5 linked regions of the Coturnix japonica genome follow. The protein of the gene in region 1 interacts with the protein of each later gene in a pairwise test. Links are inferred from orthologs where the notes say so. Each region holds a gene or a part of one and is shown in the gene's direction. Other genes may lie near its edges.

Evidence for each region.
Region 2: the proteins of ITSN2 (region 1) and KHDRBS1 interact in a two-hybrid assay, tested with the Homo sapiens proteins (2 studies listed by BioGRID and IntAct, with this or other methods). The link is inferred for Coturnix japonica from reciprocal best matches to the Homo sapiens genes ITSN2 and KHDRBS1.
Region 3: the proteins of ITSN2 (region 1) and LARP6 interact in a two-hybrid assay, tested with the Homo sapiens proteins (2 studies listed by BioGRID, with this or other methods). The link is inferred for Coturnix japonica from reciprocal best matches to the Homo sapiens genes ITSN2 and LARP6.
Region 4: the proteins of ITSN2 (region 1) and SOS1 interact in a two-hybrid assay, tested with the Homo sapiens proteins (2 studies listed by BioGRID and IntAct). The link is inferred for Coturnix japonica from reciprocal best matches to the Homo sapiens genes ITSN2 and SOS1.
Region 5: the proteins of ITSN2 (region 1) and SYNJ2 interact in a two-hybrid assay, tested with the Homo sapiens proteins (2 studies listed by BioGRID and IntAct). The link is inferred for Coturnix japonica from reciprocal best matches to the Homo sapiens genes ITSN2 and SYNJ2.

What each region holds. Positions count from the first base shown.
Region 1 is NC_029518.1:95,161,017-95,164,534, reverse strand, and holds part of ITSN2 (intersectin-2), read left to right. Parts: intron 1-48; coding exon 49-94; intron 95-284; coding exon 285-406; intron 407-839; coding exon 840-936; intron 937-1,420; coding exon 1,421-1,612; intron 1,613-3,518.
Region 2 is NC_029538.1:4,465,998-4,470,241, forward strand, and holds the start of KHDRBS1 (KH domain-containing, RNA-binding, signal transduction-associated protein 1), read left to right. Parts: upstream 1-1,436; 5' UTR 1,437-1,525; coding exon 1,526-1,847; intron 1,848-4,113; exon of another isoform or gene 4,114-4,146; coding exon of another isoform or gene 4,147-4,210; intron 4,211-4,244. Other genes in the region: PTP4A2 (protein tyrosine phosphatase type IVA 2), read right to left, coding at 54-565. UniProt on the Homo sapiens protein: Recruited and tyrosine phosphorylated by several receptor systems, for example the T-cell, leptin and insulin receptors. Once phosphorylated, functions as an adapter protein in signal transduction cascades by binding to SH2 and SH3 domain-containing proteins.
Region 3 is NC_029525.1:5,279,620-5,282,146, reverse strand, and holds the end of LARP6 (la-related protein 6), read left to right. Parts: coding exon 1-758; 3' UTR 759-2,026; downstream 2,027-2,527. UniProt on the Homo sapiens protein: Regulates the coordinated translation of type I collagen alpha-1 and alpha-2 mRNAs, CO1A1 and CO1A2. Stabilizes mRNAs through high-affinity binding of a stem-loop structure in their 5' UTR.
Region 4 is NC_029518.1:14,475,699-14,479,216, reverse strand, and holds part of SOS1 (son of sevenless homolog 1), read left to right. Parts: coding exon 1-149; intron 150-3,518.
Region 5 is NC_029518.1:46,858,849-46,862,366, forward strand, and holds part of SYNJ2 (synaptojanin-2), read left to right. Parts: coding exon 1-57; intron 58-463; coding exon 464-545; intron 546-773; coding exon 774-923; intron 924-1,026; coding exon 1,027-1,192; intron 1,193-2,455; coding exon 2,456-2,647; intron 2,648-3,518. UniProt on the Homo sapiens protein: Inositol 5-phosphatase which may be involved in distinct membrane trafficking and signal transduction pathways. May mediate the inhibitory effect of Rac1 on endocytosis.

The sequences.
Region 1 (3,518 bases):
GCTGGTTTTATTAAACATGCAAAGAATATTGTTGTGTCTTTGTTACAGGGTTCTAGTAATGCTGGCAAAGCTGGAACAATAAATAAGAAACCTGGTGAGTACATTATAACTTCTCAACGTTTTGGACTGTGTTTGAAGTGATTAATAAAGCACGTGTGTTCATGGAAGTGTTTTAAGGTCTGCCAGTGTGCTTACCTGCAAGATAAATACCAACTTTCTTCTTTAGAAATAGCTCTTATTGTAGTGAAAATATACCAAAGACAATTAATATCCCTTCTTTTCAGAAATTGCTCAGGTAACTACTGCTTATGCTGCATCAGGAAGTGAACAACTTAGTCTTGCTCCCGGGCAGCTCATTCTTATCCTGAAGAAAAATGCTAGTGGATGGTGGCAAGGAGAGCTGCAGGTGAGTGGTTGGAGGAACAGGAATCCTGACTTGACAAGCAGCATTGAGGGGTTCTTTGGTTTAACTTGAAATGAACAAGTGAGTAGAGCACACTGAAAGCTGCTTGGAAAGCTGCAGTTCCTCGTTAGAGACTCTTAAATTGATGTGCAAGTGGAATTTTCTTAGAGCAGATGTGCAGCCCTACTGTGAAATGATTAGCTGCTCTTAAAACCTTTGAATGTACGTATTTGTCAGAGCAAGTCGAGACGCAGCTTTATTTGAGTTTGGTTGTTTCATCCTTCAGTCAGATCTTACCTTCTGAGATACTTAGTGCTTAATTGCTGTTGGAAGACCAGCTTTGTTTTCCTTAGGCAGAACTGTGTGATACATCTGTTGTGCTTTTCCAGTCCTTATGCTGTTTTGTTTCTTGACTGTATTATACCCATTTCAACAGGCAAGAGGGAAAAAGAGACAGAAAGGATGGTTCCCTGCCAGCCATGTGAAGTTACTGGGTCCGAGCAGCGAGCGAACCACATCTGCTGCCCACTCAGGTGAAAAAAAAATGGTCTTATTTGTATTTCGTTTAGAGTATATTATTGAACTACTTTGTTCACATACTAATTTGAATTAACACTGTGTTTCATAGCCTTATCTGACTGTGCTTTGCTGTACAAGGTGAAGTCCTAGTCCAAATCCGAGTCTTTTGGCATATGTGTCCATTCAGATATTATTTCTGTCCACAAAAGGGAGAATCTCCCATTTGCTTTCAGCAGTCCTTCATGGGCTCCCTGCCCCACCTTATACTACTTTATAAAGCTTTTAAACTTTTCTGCCTGCGTTGCAGAGCCACACTCACCTCGCTTGGAAGCCCCTTCTTGCCATTTGATTCCATAGCAAGCTGTGATCATGTCTGGTGTTTTTCTGTAGCACTTGATGTGAAGTTGTTGTTTCTTTGCCATATCTACACAAAATACTGAAAAACTGCCTTAATGCTTCATGTCACAGCATTCTGCTAACTCTGCTTTTTCTTCGTAGTGTGCCAAGTAATAGCAATGTATGATTACATGGCAAACAATGAAGACGAGCTCAGCTTCTCCAAAGGGCAGCTCATCAACGTGCTGAGCAAAGATGATGCTGACTGGTGGCAAGGAGAAATCAATGGTGTGACAGGTCTCTTCCCTTCCAACTACGTGAAGATGACCACAGATTCTGATCCGAGTCAGCAGTGTAAGCAACTATTTTATTAAAAACCATTTTGCTTCTTTCTTTCCAAAGTGCATTACTGTTTTTTTTGCTTTCAGCTTGGAGCACCAACCAAAGTTATTGGGATTTTAAATGCTCTTTTAAATACTTTATTACTCTATTTAACCTACAAATAACCATCAGATTACCAACCAGCCAGACTGCAGTAGTGAGAGTGTGAGGGTGAGCTGGAGCAAAACATCCAGTAGGTGTCCACCTAAAGAGCAGCTGGTGTACAGCTATCTCGTGTTTGATAGCTTGTACTGACCAGAAGCCAGTGCAGGTGTATTATGCTTCATTGTAGGAATATTCTGTAATTCCAGAACATTTGCCTGTCTGAAGGTCAGATCTTTTTTTGCATGTAAATATAGGAAATGTTTCTGGTTCCTCACCCACCCGTTTGGGTGTTTTTAGTTGCCGTTTCTTTTGTCAGCTTTCCTCAGAGAAAATGAGCTCTGCTCTTACTCCTCCTTCAGCTTTCCATCCTTGGGCACTTGAATTAAATCAGCGTTCCATCAGCCCGCGACATTCGTGGCTTTCGGAGCCCCATTTAGGGTTTGGGTAGGTGATGTGAAAGTTGTCCCTTTCACTTAGCAAGCCACATCCTTTCCCTTGCTGTTTTTTCCACTAGGCATCATGCGCATTTTTTGCAGTATAAAAGCATACATCTGGAATTCTGGTTGAGGTATACCCTTAAAAACCTGCAGCTGGTCTGTGGGAGCAGCTTGCGCTTGAGATTAGATGAACTTAGTGTGGTTGTTAGAGAAGAATTCCCAGGTGTGATGATGTAGGTCCAGCTTGGGTTGTCCCCCCAGTAGCTGTCGTACCTGGCTAGAATGCCCTATTCAGGTTTTATTTGTAGTTAAATTACATCTGTGCTAATGTTCCAGGTAACGCATTCTTATTTCATGTATTCTAAATGTTTTTGATGATGTCAAAAAATGCTGCATTTAGACTGAACCTAAACAACTTTTGATTGGGCTCATCTAAAGATTGATCTATTTCTTTAGAAATCTTTTGTTTGCTTACAATTTGGATAAAATAGCACGGACTGCATCCAGCCAGGCCATGAAATTAAGGTTCTGGCTGAGTTTTTCACCCAGAGGGTGGTGACACACTGAACAGGTTGCCCAAGGAGGCTGTGGATGCCCCATCCCTGCAGGCATTCAAGGCCAGGCTGGATGTGGCTCTGGGCAGCCTGGTCTGCAGGTTGGCGACCCTGCACACAGCAGGGGGTTGAAACTGGATGATCATTGTGGTCCTTTTCAACCCAGGCCATTCTGTGATTAAACACTCCAGAATTTTTCAAAAATGAGGAGGATCTTTGCTTATCACATCAGTGACTTGAGTAGCTGGATGTGATGAGTGCAGGATGGTTGCACATCAGTTTTCAACAGAAGCAGTCCTGAGATCAAACTGCAATTGGAAACATTTGACGTGATAGTCTTTCTCTTTGTTTGCTGATAGATCATTAGGTTGTCTTGTTCTCAGCCTTCGGATTGTGGCTGTGTGACGAGAGTTGTCCTTTGAGATTGCATTGACAGGGCCAGCCAGCAGCAGTCACTGAAGAGCAGGTGTCACCCCTACTTGGTTGGCGTGAATATTGCAGTGCTTCTGTTGACAAACACATCTCCCACTGTCTCTCCTGGCCAGTTGAATGTAAGGGTATTTGAATGGGAACAAATTGGGTTTACTCACAGAGGTTTGAGGCTTGTGACAATTCTGCTTTCCCCTCAAATGTAAACTCTGTTATATGGACCACCTTTTGTACTCCTGGGGCTCACTGGTCATCCCCATGAGGCAGACCTCCCTAACAAGGTTCTCCTTAGGTAGTTCTTCTCTCAAGCTGTGTCAGTAGCTCTCTGGGCAGAAGAAATGATGCTGACAAGGG
Region 2 (4,244 bases), on another chromosome or scaffold:
CTCTCGGTTCTCCCCCGGCCTCCTCCTCACCCCGGCCCCCCCCGGTTCCTCACCCCGGGCATTGAGCGCGGCGCCGTTCTTCCGAGCGGACCCGGCGCCTCCCACACCGCGGGCCGGGGGGCGCGATGGGGGCAGGAAGGGGCGGCGGCGGCGTTGGGGAGCGGCGGGGCCCGTGACGGGGCTGAGGCTGAACGACCCCCGGTGCGGCCCGAGCGGCGGACACAGCGCACAGCCCCGCCGCCACACGGCTCACACTGCACAGGCCGCTCCCCCCCCGCCCTGCCCCGTGGTACGGCCCGCACGGCGCTGATTGGCACGGCGCGACGCACCCCCGCAACCGGCAGTGGTACGGCCCGCTCCGCCTCAATCCCCCCGCGTGGAAGCGCCCACTCGGTGCCCTCGCGGGGGGATCCCGTGTCTGTCTGTGCCGTGCGAGCGGCGCAGCCTCGCAGCCGTTTTCCGCCACACGAGATGCGGGTTGAGCCCCGTCCCCGAGCCGCGAGGAGCCGCCGCTCTCATCCCTGCGCAGCCGGAGCTCCCCGCACCCTCCCCACGCAGCCGGCATTGGTACGGCCCGACTCTCCCCCTAACCGCCGCCTCCCCCCGCCGCACTTGGACCGGTCCGCCCGCACCACGTGCGCACCCCCCCGCAGAGGGGCGATGGAACAGCCCTCCTGTAACCCCCCCATCCCCTCCTGTCCTGATACGGCAGCTCCGGTTAGACAGCACGGACAGACAGCGAGCCCCGGCCACAGCCCCGGGCAGGGATGCGGTCTCAACCACGTGCCCCGTTAGTTCGGGCCCGGAGCGCCCGCCCTGCAGCTGGAACAAGAGCTGCTGTGTGCTCTGCCCGCAGGAAGCAGCAGCGGGGCCCCTCCCGTCCGTGTGCACAGCGCAGCACGGAGCTGTGCAGCCCAGCAGGTCCGTTCTGTAGCTGAACGAACGCTGTGTGTCAGAGCTCAGTGATTAACAACACGTTGTGTCAGCAGGGAGCAATGGGGATGTGATCGCATCCACATCCGGTGCTCCTGTTAATGCTGGGAGCAGGGATGGCCCTAAAGCAGAGCAGCTCCTATATTCAGCCTATAAAAGCCTATTGCTGCAGCCAGCCCACAGCACACAGTGCTCCGGGCAGAGCAGCACTAAGACATGAGGCCCATATCCCAGGTCCCGGTCCCGCATCGCACCTCCCCGCACCGCCATGTCGGACCCGCAGTGCGCATGCGTAAAGCTCCTTGAGCCTGGCGCCACAGCGCCGCGCACGTGCTGCTCTCCCAATCGCGCGCCCGGCACTGCGCATGCGCACAAGGAGAATGCTTCCTTCTCACGCCGCGCATGCGCCCTGTGAAGCCGAGGGGCTGCGCGACAGCGCATGCGCAGAAGCGCGTGGGGTGGTCGCGCGGGAAGCGCTGTGTGGGGGCGCTGTGAGGGATGGGGCGGTACTTCCGGTCTCCCACTTCCGGTCCCGTCGCTGCGGCTGCTCGGGGTGGCAGCGCCGTTCGGGCCCGTCCCGCTCCGTGCCCGCATGCAGCGCCGCGATGAGTCCAACGCCCGCATGGGCCGCGGGCCGGGGGGACCCGGGGGATCCCGCCAAGGGGGGCCCAACCCGCGGCGGTCTCCCCGGGGCGGGGGGGGCCGTGGGGCCCAGCAGCCGCAGCCGCTGCTGACCGGCGGAGGGGCGGCAGGCTCCTCTGGCTCGCAAGGCCCCGCCGCCGCCTCCCCCGCCCCGCTGCTGACAGGGGGAAACAACAAGATGGAGCCCGAGAACAAATACCTGCCCGAGCTGATGGCCGAGAAGGACAGCCTGGACCCGTCCTTCACTCACGCCATGCAGCTCCTCAGCGCAGGTACCGAGCGGAGCGGGGGGTGGGGATGGAATGTGGCGGCAGCGCGGTACCGAGTGCTGGGAACGGCTCTGTATGAAGCGCTGGGCTGTGTGTGATATGAGCTATAGGGCACCGGGAGCCGAAGGTTCGTTGTACAGGGAGGTTGGCTGCTGTCATCCCTTGGGGGAGGGGTCCGAGCTGAGCGGCCAGATCGTGGGCTGCGATCTGTGCTTTTCCACTCGGTAACACGTCCAGAGCTCGTTCCGTGGTGCTGCTGATCCTCAGTAGTGAATGGGAATGGCAGCCTTTGTTCTGTGCCCGGAGCTGCCTTCTCCTTCCCCATCGCCGCTGTCCAATCGCCTGCCCGCTCTCATTCCTCCCCATCTCCCTCCCCGTGCAGCTGCCGGGGTGGGCTCAGCTGCCTCTGATACCTGGCAATAAAATCGGAGCCTTCAGCATTTCATACAGACTATTCTGCAGACTGACCTTGTGGCTCGGGAGGGTTGTTTTTCCCAGATAAGCGGGACAGCTGGAGCCTAAAAGCAGAGCCTGAGCATTCCACGGGCTGTGGGGATGTGCACTGTACCCTGCTGGGGCTGAGTATAGGCACCATAACAAGGTTGAAGTACTAATTAGGAATGTAGTCAACAGCTGTTTTTAATAAGTACAGCAATTTTAGGAAGAGGCCGTCGTGTTGTGGTTATGCATCGACATTTCCATATCTAAAACATGTGAAATCAGTGAGCTTTAACCCCTGGATGTGCAGCTTGGAGGTGCCATCCTCGCACCCAGCGCTGCAATAGAGCCATGTCAGCTTTCTGACCTCTCATAGGGGTTGGTGAGTTTTGTTCCTGTATTTCAGTGCCACCTGCAGAGCCCACAGCCGGCTTCAAACAGGAACAGCTTCAAATCTTGGCTGCCGCTTGGAGCTTAATATGCGTGCGGTGCTGAGCAGGTGGTGCCAGCACAGGGATAGCAGCACATTGAACCAGCTCCGTGCGCTGCCGTTTGTCATCCTGCTTCCAAATGATTCCTCAGGTCTTTATACTGCTGAATATTGCCATAATTGTCGCAGCGCTCGAGGCTTTTTTAGTTCCTCCTTTAATGTGGGAAATAATTCTTAAGAATTGCTGTCTCCTGTTCTGCAGATAGCTGAGGTACGTCGTCACGGGTAACTTGGCATCATTTGTGGGCACCTCGATCTAAATAAATCAGTTTTATAATCCGATTTGCCATCAGTTTAATGTTTTTCATTAATAAAAGCGTTTAGCCAGCTGATGCTCACAGCTCTGTGCTAATGCCTTCAGTGACATGAGACCTGAGGAGTGTGTTCATTCCCAAAGAAGGAGCAGCGTTCTCAGCCCCCTTTGCCCAGCTTTGTTTGCAGAGCGGTCTAACAAGGATTTATGAGCTTCTCCATTAACTTGGAGTTTGCTCATAGTGAGCTGCAGCTCTGTGAGGTGTCACATTGGAAGAAGGCTGGGTGCTTTTTGCTTGCTTCAGGTATATTGAGAACTGGGGGTTTGGGGAGTGTAAAATGGTGTCTAAAAGTAGCCTTAAAGTAGCCTGAAAGTACCTTTGTAATTCTGGAGCTGTTCAGTGTTTCTAAAGAAAAATCAGCATTGTTTGGGATTGGGATGAAAGGCCACACAGTGATGTAACGCTGATCCTCAGACAATGTACTGTGTGATATGAAGCAGTGAAGGGGGTAGATGGTGGGATTGTGTTACACAGCACCCTGAACAGACGTTGCAAACGGGGATTTTTGCACCTTGGAATATGAGGTTCCTCACTGCCGTGATTCAGGATCTACACCAGCTTCCTTTTCCTTGCTTTCATTCATGCTCTGGCTGCTGTGGCTGCAGGGCTGGAGGTGCTGACATCCCATAGGCACAGTGCTTCCAGGCACTGGGGATAGTCAGGAGGCATCCGGTGCCGTGTCTGTCGGCTGGAGGTGTTTTCCAGGTTCTTGCATTAATCTGAGCTATTTCCATTTCATGGAGATCCTCTCCTTGGACAGAGCTGGCATTTCATCTCTGAGCTTCCTGTGCTTTGTGAGTGAGCTGCCTCTGCTCCGCTCACACCTTTACCTGGAGCATCTTGGAGGTCCTTCATGTTCCCAGGCAGGCGGGATGGTGAGGAGGGCAGAGCACAGGGTGCTGCAGGTCCACGTTTGGTGGTTTTGCTAGGGAAGAGCTCGGGCTGAGATCAGGAGTGGCACTGTGGCTGCTGAGCCTCCTTCCTGCAATGCAGCCGCGTTACCAACCCCCCTTTACCTGCCCCATAGGATTTCTTCTGAGACAAAGCAATCACTGCCCCCATGAAGTCCGGGAAGCCACTGCCACGCATGCTGCCAGCCTGCTGCCATTCCCCGTGGCAAGAAGGTAACCTTCTGCTGCACCTCTGACACGGCCTTTA
Region 3 (2,527 bases), on another chromosome or scaffold:
TCAGGAGGTTCAGCAGTCGGTATACGCAAATGGGAACACAGGAATGTGCAATTGTAGAATTTGAAGAAGTAGATGCTGCTGTGCAGGCTCATGAATTCATGTGTGCTGAAAAGAAAGAGACTGGCATGAAAGTTGTCCTCATCGGCACGAAACCTCCAAAGAAGAAAGTCCCTAAAGACAAGAACCGTGATGAAGATAACAACAAGAGTCTGAAGAAAGTTAGATCCCTTAACAAGAGAGTTGAGGAACTTCAGTTTACTGGTGACGAATCATCAGCAAATAGCTCTTCTGAGCCAGAGAGTAATCCTACATCACCACTCTCAGGACGCAGAAATACTGTGACAAGTACTACAAGCAAGTTGAGTCCCGTCGTGCACCCAAACAACCATCTGAGTCCTAACGTATCACCCAGATCAAGTCCTTGGAACAGTCCATCCTCTCTAAGGAAAGTGACCAAAAAGTCTCCACTGGCTGAAGACAGCAAACTCAACCTGAGCACTAGTCCTGAAATTCCAAGAAAATGCACAGATTATTCCTCAGACAGCAGCATTACACCGTCTGGTAGTCCTTGGGTACAGAGAAGAAAAGCTCAGACTACAACACAAGAGAAGAGTCCGGTCAGTAGCCCCATGCTAGCTCGGAAAATACAAAATGCAGATGGTCTACCCGTAGGGGTGCTGCGGCTGCCCAGAGGTCCTGATGGCACTAAAGGATTCCACAGTGGCTGTGAAAGAAGGAAAGCCATGAAGAATGAATAAATCCTTCCTTAAAAATAATATCACCATTTAGTCAAGTTCTTTTCTTCAGACCTGGTGAAAGACTGTCACTTTAAGTGACTGAGTTGAGTCAGTATTTAATTTCTAAACATTTTATATTCACACTGAGACTTTATCATTTGTATATTTGTATTTTCACTTCATAGAATCACAGGATAGTTACGATTGGAAGGCATCGCTGTTTGAGCAGGGTCAGCCGCACCAGGTCACTGAGCACCACGCTTGGGTTCTGTGCATCTGCAAGTTCTCTGGGTAACCCAACCCCGGCATTCAAACACACACACAATAAAAAAAAATTGTTTCCATATGTTCAGATAGAATTTCCTGTGTTCAGTTTGTGCCCCTTTTCTTTTTACTATGTAACACTGGGGAGAGCCAGGCTACATCTTCATTCATACTAAAATACATTGTTGAGATCTCCCTGAGCCTTTCCCAGTCTGAACAGCTTCATCTCTCTCATCCTCTCCCATGAGATGCTCCAGTACTTCAGCCATTTACACACTTACCTACTGCAGTTCCCTTATCTGCATTTTTCATGTGTTCGCTTGAAATGCCTGAACACTGAAGCACCATCTGGGATCATTAACACAATGACACTATTTGCAAACCTGAAAAGCAGTTTGCCAATGTTTACTGCTCAGCAGTTGTATTACAATAAGCTTGGTATGAATTCCTCTTAAATCCTAACAAATGTAAGTTTTGAAGACCTTCTGGGTTTGTCTCTAACTGAGCAATGTACTCCAGTGAGCAGCTGCTCCCTGCTTGTCCAAACCTCCCAAGTCACTTGTTTAACAGGACCAAAGCGCTTGCTTTCCCGTGATGTGAAAACTCCAAGCATTGAAGGCTGTTTTGTAAGTTTTATCTCGTGTAATCAGATGGAAATAAACGGAATATTAACTTGGTCTAAATCTGCTGCTTTTTCACTTCAAATGTAAGAGATTCTAGAAATAGTTGCTCAGAACTCACAGTTCATTCAGTAACGCGCCCTCTTCCCCCTGCTTCTAATTTCAGGGGTAGAACTCTGTGCTGTAAATAACTGCAGTAACACGTTGCCAGGACTGACTGGCAGAGATCACCAGTTCTGTGCATCATTGTTCAGCTGCCCACATGTATTTTTCTAATATTTTCCTTTGACTTCACACAAATGGAATCCCCCAAGTTGACTCCTGACTTTGATTACTGGCAAAAGCATTGTAAAATACATAATATATGTTAAAATATACATATATATTATTAAAAATTATGTGGTATTTGGTTGTTGTTTTTGTTTTACTTGTTAAATCAACAGCATATCTGCAAGCTTCTAAGAGACAGGTGAGCACACAGCCATCAGATGAGCAGTTCTCTAACTCTAGCTTATGTATAACCACATCATCTCACGGTGCATCCAGACCAGCCCCACTTCACTAATAACCTGTCACCATGAACCTGTGCAGCAGCCACGTGTCACCACGTGCCAGCCTGCTTTTATCAGGACTACAACTGATACGGGGCCATGTTTTGGAGACACCCAGAAATCAATTAAGCAGAAATACTGGGAAGTGTACATAATATTTCATTAGGTTAAAATTCCCAGAGGTACTGGATGTTTGCATGAGAGAAAAAGGCTGGATGCAGTAACTGTACAGCACTGTACCTCGTGATCATTCTATTGTTTACACCAAATTTATATTAAAAAAAAGTCCAAGACAGAAGAAGTCCATACAGCTGCTGCGTTGTATCTGTACTCAGGATTCCTTGCAGGGCCCAGA
Region 4 (3,518 bases), about 81 Mb from region 1:
AAATCCTGAGCTTTACAGATTTGCAGAACCTGACTCAGAAGAGAATATTGTGTTTGAAGAAAACATGCAGCCCAAATCCGGAATCCCCATCATCAAGGCAGGAACTGTTGTCAAACTTATTGAGAGGCTGACTTACCACATGTATGCAGGTGAGGCACTTCATAACCAGAACAGGTGATGATTAGTTTATGCTTCTTGTTTTCCTTATTAAGTACAGCAAAATGCAGACTATGTGTGGAAAACAAACATGCTCAGTGGTACATATTCTGAAATGCTTTTTGAGTTAAGGTTTGGAATTCTAAATTTGCACCTCTGTGGCTGCAGCAGCTGGAAATGAATCCAGTTTGACTGACCGTAGTGAGATCTGCACATGTGTCTGGTTACTCTCCTGCATGGGATGGTGGGGGGCAGGATCCAGCAGGAACTGAGCTCCAGACAGCACTTTTTCCTGTAGGCTGCAAGAATTGCCTTCCCTTGAGATTTGTGAGACGAGGTGGCACACACAGCGCTAGCTCTGCAGATGAGAACTGTGTGCTTGGTTTCTTCAGTTAAGGGTTGTACTTTGTAAACTACTACCTATGTCTGTGTTGACATGTAACGCATAGAGCAAATACCAGCTTCCTTAAAGCAGTGGCTTGAGTAGTTTTTACCTTGTCCAAATTTAAGGATTTGAATTATGACATTTACGTAAAGGTTTCTACTTGTGTTGAAGATACATTTGTGTGATGAATGGCATTTATGTGAAAGCGAATGGCTCATCCAGTCCAACCTCAGCATGTGTGTGTAGCGTTTCTGCATAGTTTTCCAGGATTTTTCTAAGCAGTGCTGAAGAACATGGGCTTTTCCCACCCCTCCCCCCCCAGTCTTTTTCATCTTTGATTTTTCCACTACTTTTCCACTATGGGCTGTTATTCTGAACCTGTATTCATCTTGATGTAAGTACTTCTCTTATTCAGCTGTAGTTTTTTTTCTGTCTGTCTATCCTTACTCTGATAAGTAGTTCTGCAGCTCAGTCTCAGAGTCCAGTATGGAACCGGAATGTTTGTTTAGAAGAGGCTTGGAATAAGCAGAATATGATTAGTGTTTTGTAGTACTTCTTTGTTTTATTCTTTAAGTGATTGGAAATCTGTTCACTCTGCTGCTTTTATTGCCCCTCTCTGCACTTCCTTCAGCTTAGCTTTCCTATCACTTATTAGAAACACAAATGCAATATCTTGCTGGCAGTTTTTACCAGAGCAGTTTTGTATCTGACTTCATTTTCTTTTATCAACTTCAAGCCATTGGCATGATCTATGGCATAATTTAGTCTTTTTGGAAGTTAAAGTAGAACAATTCCACTCTGGAGAAAGGAAGAGGATTATTTAAAAAGCTGAAATTGTAATTGGCAGAGAGCTAGCAGGAGGCGTATTCCTTTTAGTGCCCTTGTATGCATTCACTGTACTTTGGGCAGCTTGCATCCCATTGAAGATTGCCCTTTCTGTGTGCAGAGGATTCTTGCTGTACCCCTGGCCTGGTCACCAGTAGCATTCTCTATGCGTTGTCTGTACAGTGAGCTGTGAGCTGTCTTCTGCAGTTCCTTAACACAGCAGGGCCGCCTGTTTTTGAAGAACATATGGCTTGTTGAAATACATCTCTTGTGTTGCTTTTTGCATTTGACACATGGGTTAACCGCATTCAAACAGGTTGTCCTGTGATGAATTCAGTTAATCTTTGTAACCTTAGAGATGTGAGAATGACATACGTGGATCTGATGCTGAATTGCTAAGCTGTACGTCATTTCTCCAAATCCTTATCTTGCATTGTATGCCTTCTTTTTTAGAGCTGGCTTTCTATGGGGGTGAAATGTAGTCGTTTTAGCTGCTCTTTGCTGTCTTTTCCAGGGAAACAAAAGAATAGAGATTTAGTGACTCAGCAAAAAAAGGCTTTTGTACAGGAAATGAGGTCCATTTCCTACATAAATCATTCAGTGTTTTGTTGCATTTTGTGAGATGCAGTGAGGAGGTCAGCCACTTTCCATAGTAACCCTTTTCTTCTGTTTGCGCGCGACTGAGTGCAGAGCTGCTCTTCTGCTCTGAAATGTAGGAAGATGGCTATCCCTGTGGTACGTAGCCACATAGCTGCAGATTGTTGTTGGTTCTTTTTTTGGCCCACAATAGGGCTGTGCATGTGTGATTGGAGTCTTTAAAGAACAGCACTGACTTAGGCTGGAATGGCAGGCTGTGACTTCTCTGGTGTCTGATCTCAGATGCAGTTTGGTTATGCTAGTCCTGGATCTATCCAAAGACTGTTTTGTTTTTGTTTTTTTTTTTTGGAGTAGCTGTGAACCTTTTCTAAGATGTTCTTCTTGTGGCTCACATCCTATAAAGAGTCAATACAGATGGAATTGCAGAGGTTGTGCCAATTTGTTGGAAGTAGCTGAAGTTGAGGTAGTTGGTTATTGAAGTCAGTGGGCACTCAGTTCATGTCTATGCTTTTCTGTCATATGTAAAGATCCATGGGAGGCAGTAGATAGGTGTGTATGACCTTTTGCTTTTCCATCTTCACCTTCAAGATAAGACACAAAACAGCTTTTCAGCAGACTGTTCTGTTTTATTGTAGAATAGAGGCTTCCTGGCAGCTGAGCTGTAACACAGCCACTCTGCTGGGATCCAGGCCCGAGAAGGGAAGGCAGGCAGCCCACATAGTCCTGGGCTGGAGCAGCCAAGCTGGGAAGGAGGCTCCTCAGCACAATAGCTTTCCTTGTATTTCAACCTGAGGGAAGCTGCCCTTCCATTGGAAATTCAGATTCTTGTCCTATTTGCATATTGTGGCGGATTTTACTAGTTTTAATGTGTTCTGCGTTGATTATCTCCTCCTTTTCCTGATACTCACTTAATAGTGGCTAGGCTAGGTGGTACCAAGATTGGAAACTCCGGGCATTTTATTTATCTATAGAGCAGTGCTCTTCTATTTTTAAAGCTTTGATATGTTAAGAGTGCGTGTGCGTCATCATAGTGTCCGTTTCCTTTCTTAAGGAATTCAAGGGTGATTATTTATAAATCCTTGTAGAACAAGTTATTGTTCTTTTTTAGCTGTAAAATGGGCTGTATTGAAGAGAGAATTATCACATGAGCAGACATCCTGACTAACTGGTGTTGTCTGTGTTTTTTTTAACACTTGCTCCTATATTGTGTGCTGTTTTGAGTTGCGGATTTTGCTAGTGAGATAACAAAGCTAGATTTGATTTTCTGATATACTTGATTTGAAATTCAGTATGTACTGTGGATTTAGACGCTGAGTCTACCTGCAAATAACAATAGGCAGGACTCAGAGCTTGCTTCTCTTTCACACAGACAAATACTGTTTAAGGTGGATGAAGTCTACAGAATGCAAGCTGTGAAAATGTGGGTGACTGAGTTTAGTTATGTACTTCGGTTTTAGGACATGAAAAATCATGTGGTTTTGTAGTGAGGATGGAGACAGGGAGGACGTTCTTTATGCAAAGGGATTTGAAGTTTGGCCTTTGAAAAGTGCAGTTT
Region 5 (3,518 bases), about 48 Mb from region 1:
GAAATTGCACTGGGAGGACTTTGGCGTCTTTGCAAAGGGCAACAATGTAAGTCCACGGTGAGTGTCCCTGCCCCCATGTCCCAGCATAGCCAGGCACCAACCCTCCTAACCTTCCCAAGTTCATCGCTGTGTTTGGACCATGGGCATGTGTGACCATCTCGAAATACAGATTTGAAACAAAGTGTAGTCTTGGTACTACAAGATCATTTGGGTTAAATACCTCTCCTTGGTTTAGAATTTGGAAAATTACCAACACATGGATTTGCAAGCACTGTGTTGGAGACATAGTCAGGTAATTAGATACGTAATGGAATACACTGTGCACAGTGTGCTTGCACTGTCAAAATGTGGGCGGGTATATTCAAGCTGAATATTTGACAATCTTGTTCAATCAACCCGTGATTAGATGTTATTTTTAAAATATACCTTTCTTCCTCCCTCCTCTTGTGTTTAATTACTAAAGCCTGCAGACAGGTACTTTTCGAATGAATTGTTTGGACTGCCTGGATCGTACTAACAGCGTACAGTCCTTCATTGCACTGGAGGTAAGTTTATCAAAGGACCTTTCACAGATGCCCATGCTGCATACGTTGTCTGTTGCACAGGAAAGAAGAGAAAGGGGACATAAGCCTCACTGATACAAGTCTTTCTTGCTAGCTCTGTGTTATAGAATGGTGCTAGCTGTAATAACTAAATTGGGAAGAAAAGGCAAAATACATTCAAGAAGAGTGATTTTATTTTATTTTATTTTTCCCTTCCTCCTCCATACCCAGATCCTGCTTACACAACTGGAGATCCTTGGGTTGAACTCTAGATCTATAGTTGAGCGCTTTGTGGAATCGTACAAAGCAATGTGGACTCTCAATGGTCACAATCTGAGCAAAGTGTTCACTGGCAGCCGTGCCCTTGAAGGAAAGCACAAGGTAAAGAAAAGCAGCAAAGCTGTTTACTCAGAAGTGACTGTAAAGAAAGGTATCTGATTTACACCTCGTTGCCTCTTGTGCTGATGATCTTGGTCTGATGTAGGTTGGGAAGCTCAAGGATGGAGCCCGCTCTGTCTCTCGTACCATTCAGTCAAATTTTTTTGATTCAGTAAAGCAGGAAGCCATCAAGCTGCTTCTCATGGGTGACTTCTTCAGTGAGGAATATGCAGACAAGGGAAAGATGCTCATGGATAACACTGCTCTGCTGGGTAAGGCCAGCATAAACCCTTCCTGTTTCTTTTTCTGCCTGGTTTTGACTGTCATTTATAAGCAATTGCATCATTTTATAGAAAAACTACTCTTGCACATGTGTTGTTTAAAACACTTTTTTTTCAAGCTACTGTAGCAGAATCCTGTCTGTTTTAATTTCATTGTGCTTATTTCTCATATTTTGTTTTGGACTTCCAGTGTGTTTATCTGCTGTTTGATGATATTCTTTGATAGTTGAGAGGAGATCGACTGAAAGGGAAGGTTTTTAGGGCTGTATTCCCGGTTTGGTCACTTTGTCCTGGGGAAGTCTCTTGAGCTCAACATTTTTATCTGCTTATTTTAAGTCTGCAGTCTGTATGTGCTCTTAGCCATTTGGGTCTTAAAGGCACATTTATGCTGATTTGTTCTCTGCTTTACTCTGATAGTCCGTAACATATACATAGCTGTTTGCACCCGTCTAGAATCAACCAACCTAGTTCTCTCTGAGAAAAAACGCATGTGCAGAATACAGGATAACCTGCTCCCACAAGCAGTGTCACATTGCCAGTTTGCTCCAGAGACTTACTGGATTTTAACAGGGTAGATATGAGCCATTCAGCTCTGCTGCAGTCCTGAGGGTGTCCCCTTATGGACTACAAGGACAGTGTAGATACCTTCTCTGCATCTGACTACTGGCTATTGAGTAGCTGAAGATTAAGGTTATTACAGCTACTCACATGAAAAAACATGCACTCTTAATTGTCTATACTCATCAAAAATAATGAAAGTAGCAGTTTCCTCTAAGGACTTCTGACTAGGCTAGAGAGCTGTGACAGTGCTAGTTTTGAAGACACGATGTGGGACTCTGTGCTATTTTCTACCTTTCCCTCATCTAAATTTGTTAGGGCTTGGATTTAAGTCATGATTTGTGGCATACTCAGTACAAGCAAAACTGAAAAGATAAAGGGAGGAGAAAAGAATTCATTCAGTGTTACTTGAAGTTCTAGAAAACATATGCTGGAAGTGATTGACTGACTTCTTACAAGTACAGCTGCTTTTGTAAGATGCTTGGAGTCTGGAAGAGAAATTGATAGCATCAGCTTCAATAACCTTACAGTTATTGCCACTGCTACTGGAGATATTCTTTATCTTTTGTATTTTTGCTACTAGGGTGCTGTCATTATTTCATGGTGACTTACATGTCACTGCTCTCTGGATTTTTTCTCTGCTTTTATGGCACATTTTTGTTTTACGTGCTCTTTCCCTCTCTTCTCTTCCATCAGTAACTCCAAGTATTCTGAAGGCCATGTCAGAGCGTCAGTTTGAATTCACAAGCTTCAAGCGTGTTCGTGTTGCCATGGGGACCTGGAATGTGAATGGAGGGAAGCAGTTTCGAAGCAACATCCTTGGTACCAGTGAGCTGACAGACTGGTTGCTGGATTCTCCAAAGCTCTCTGGAGTTTCTGAATTTCAGGGTAAGACTTTAGAGAAAAAAAATGCATTTTGGTATTGCAATAGGTATTGCATTTCTAGGATCTGCAAGTCAGAACACCGGGTTTGACTAGCTGTTCCTTTCAGAGTCAGTGCATCATCCTGAAGGGCATTTTCTGCCAAACCTAAAGGATGTACTCAGCCCCATTTTAGACCTCTACAGTCTATTCTGCATGCCATGTTTTCTTTTGTTCCTCAGTTTCTCCATTCTTGGTTCTTCATTTTGGGTAGAAACTTCATGCTTAGGTGTTCCTGGAATGTATCCTTGTTCTTCATCTTGCCTTTCCTTAGCTGTATAAAAAGTTCCTGTGTTTCTGGCTTGCTTAAGTTAGCCACTGAATTCCATATCTATTGAACAAAGTCAGTTACTATAATTTATTTCCAGATTTTATTAAGAAAAATGAGAAGTGAATGTTCTGTCTTTTGAAAAATGAGTGTTTGCAAAGATATGGCAAAATCTGTGCTTTTGTTGTTACAATGGAATATCTAACCTTCTGCTGGTATCGCAGAGATATTTATGTTCCTGCCCTTCAAGCTCAGGAATTAATTCCTCAGATCCTTGGCTACTTACATAAGCTGTCCTATTTGAACTTGTCCTGGTTTCAGAGACAGAACTCTTAGCTCTTGAGTGTATGGATTTGCAGTTCAGTGCAGACAACAATATTCTGAACAGCTTGGGTGAGTGCTTGGTCCAGTCTCGTTCAGAAGCAGTTTATCTGTATTGGCAAATGGCTGTTCCCATGATATTAAAATTTGATGAGAGCCTGTTATTTGCTGTTCCTGCCAGACTTTCACCTAAATAAACTGGAGGAACAGGACTAATTGGTATTGGCAGTAAGAATGTGGAATGTATAA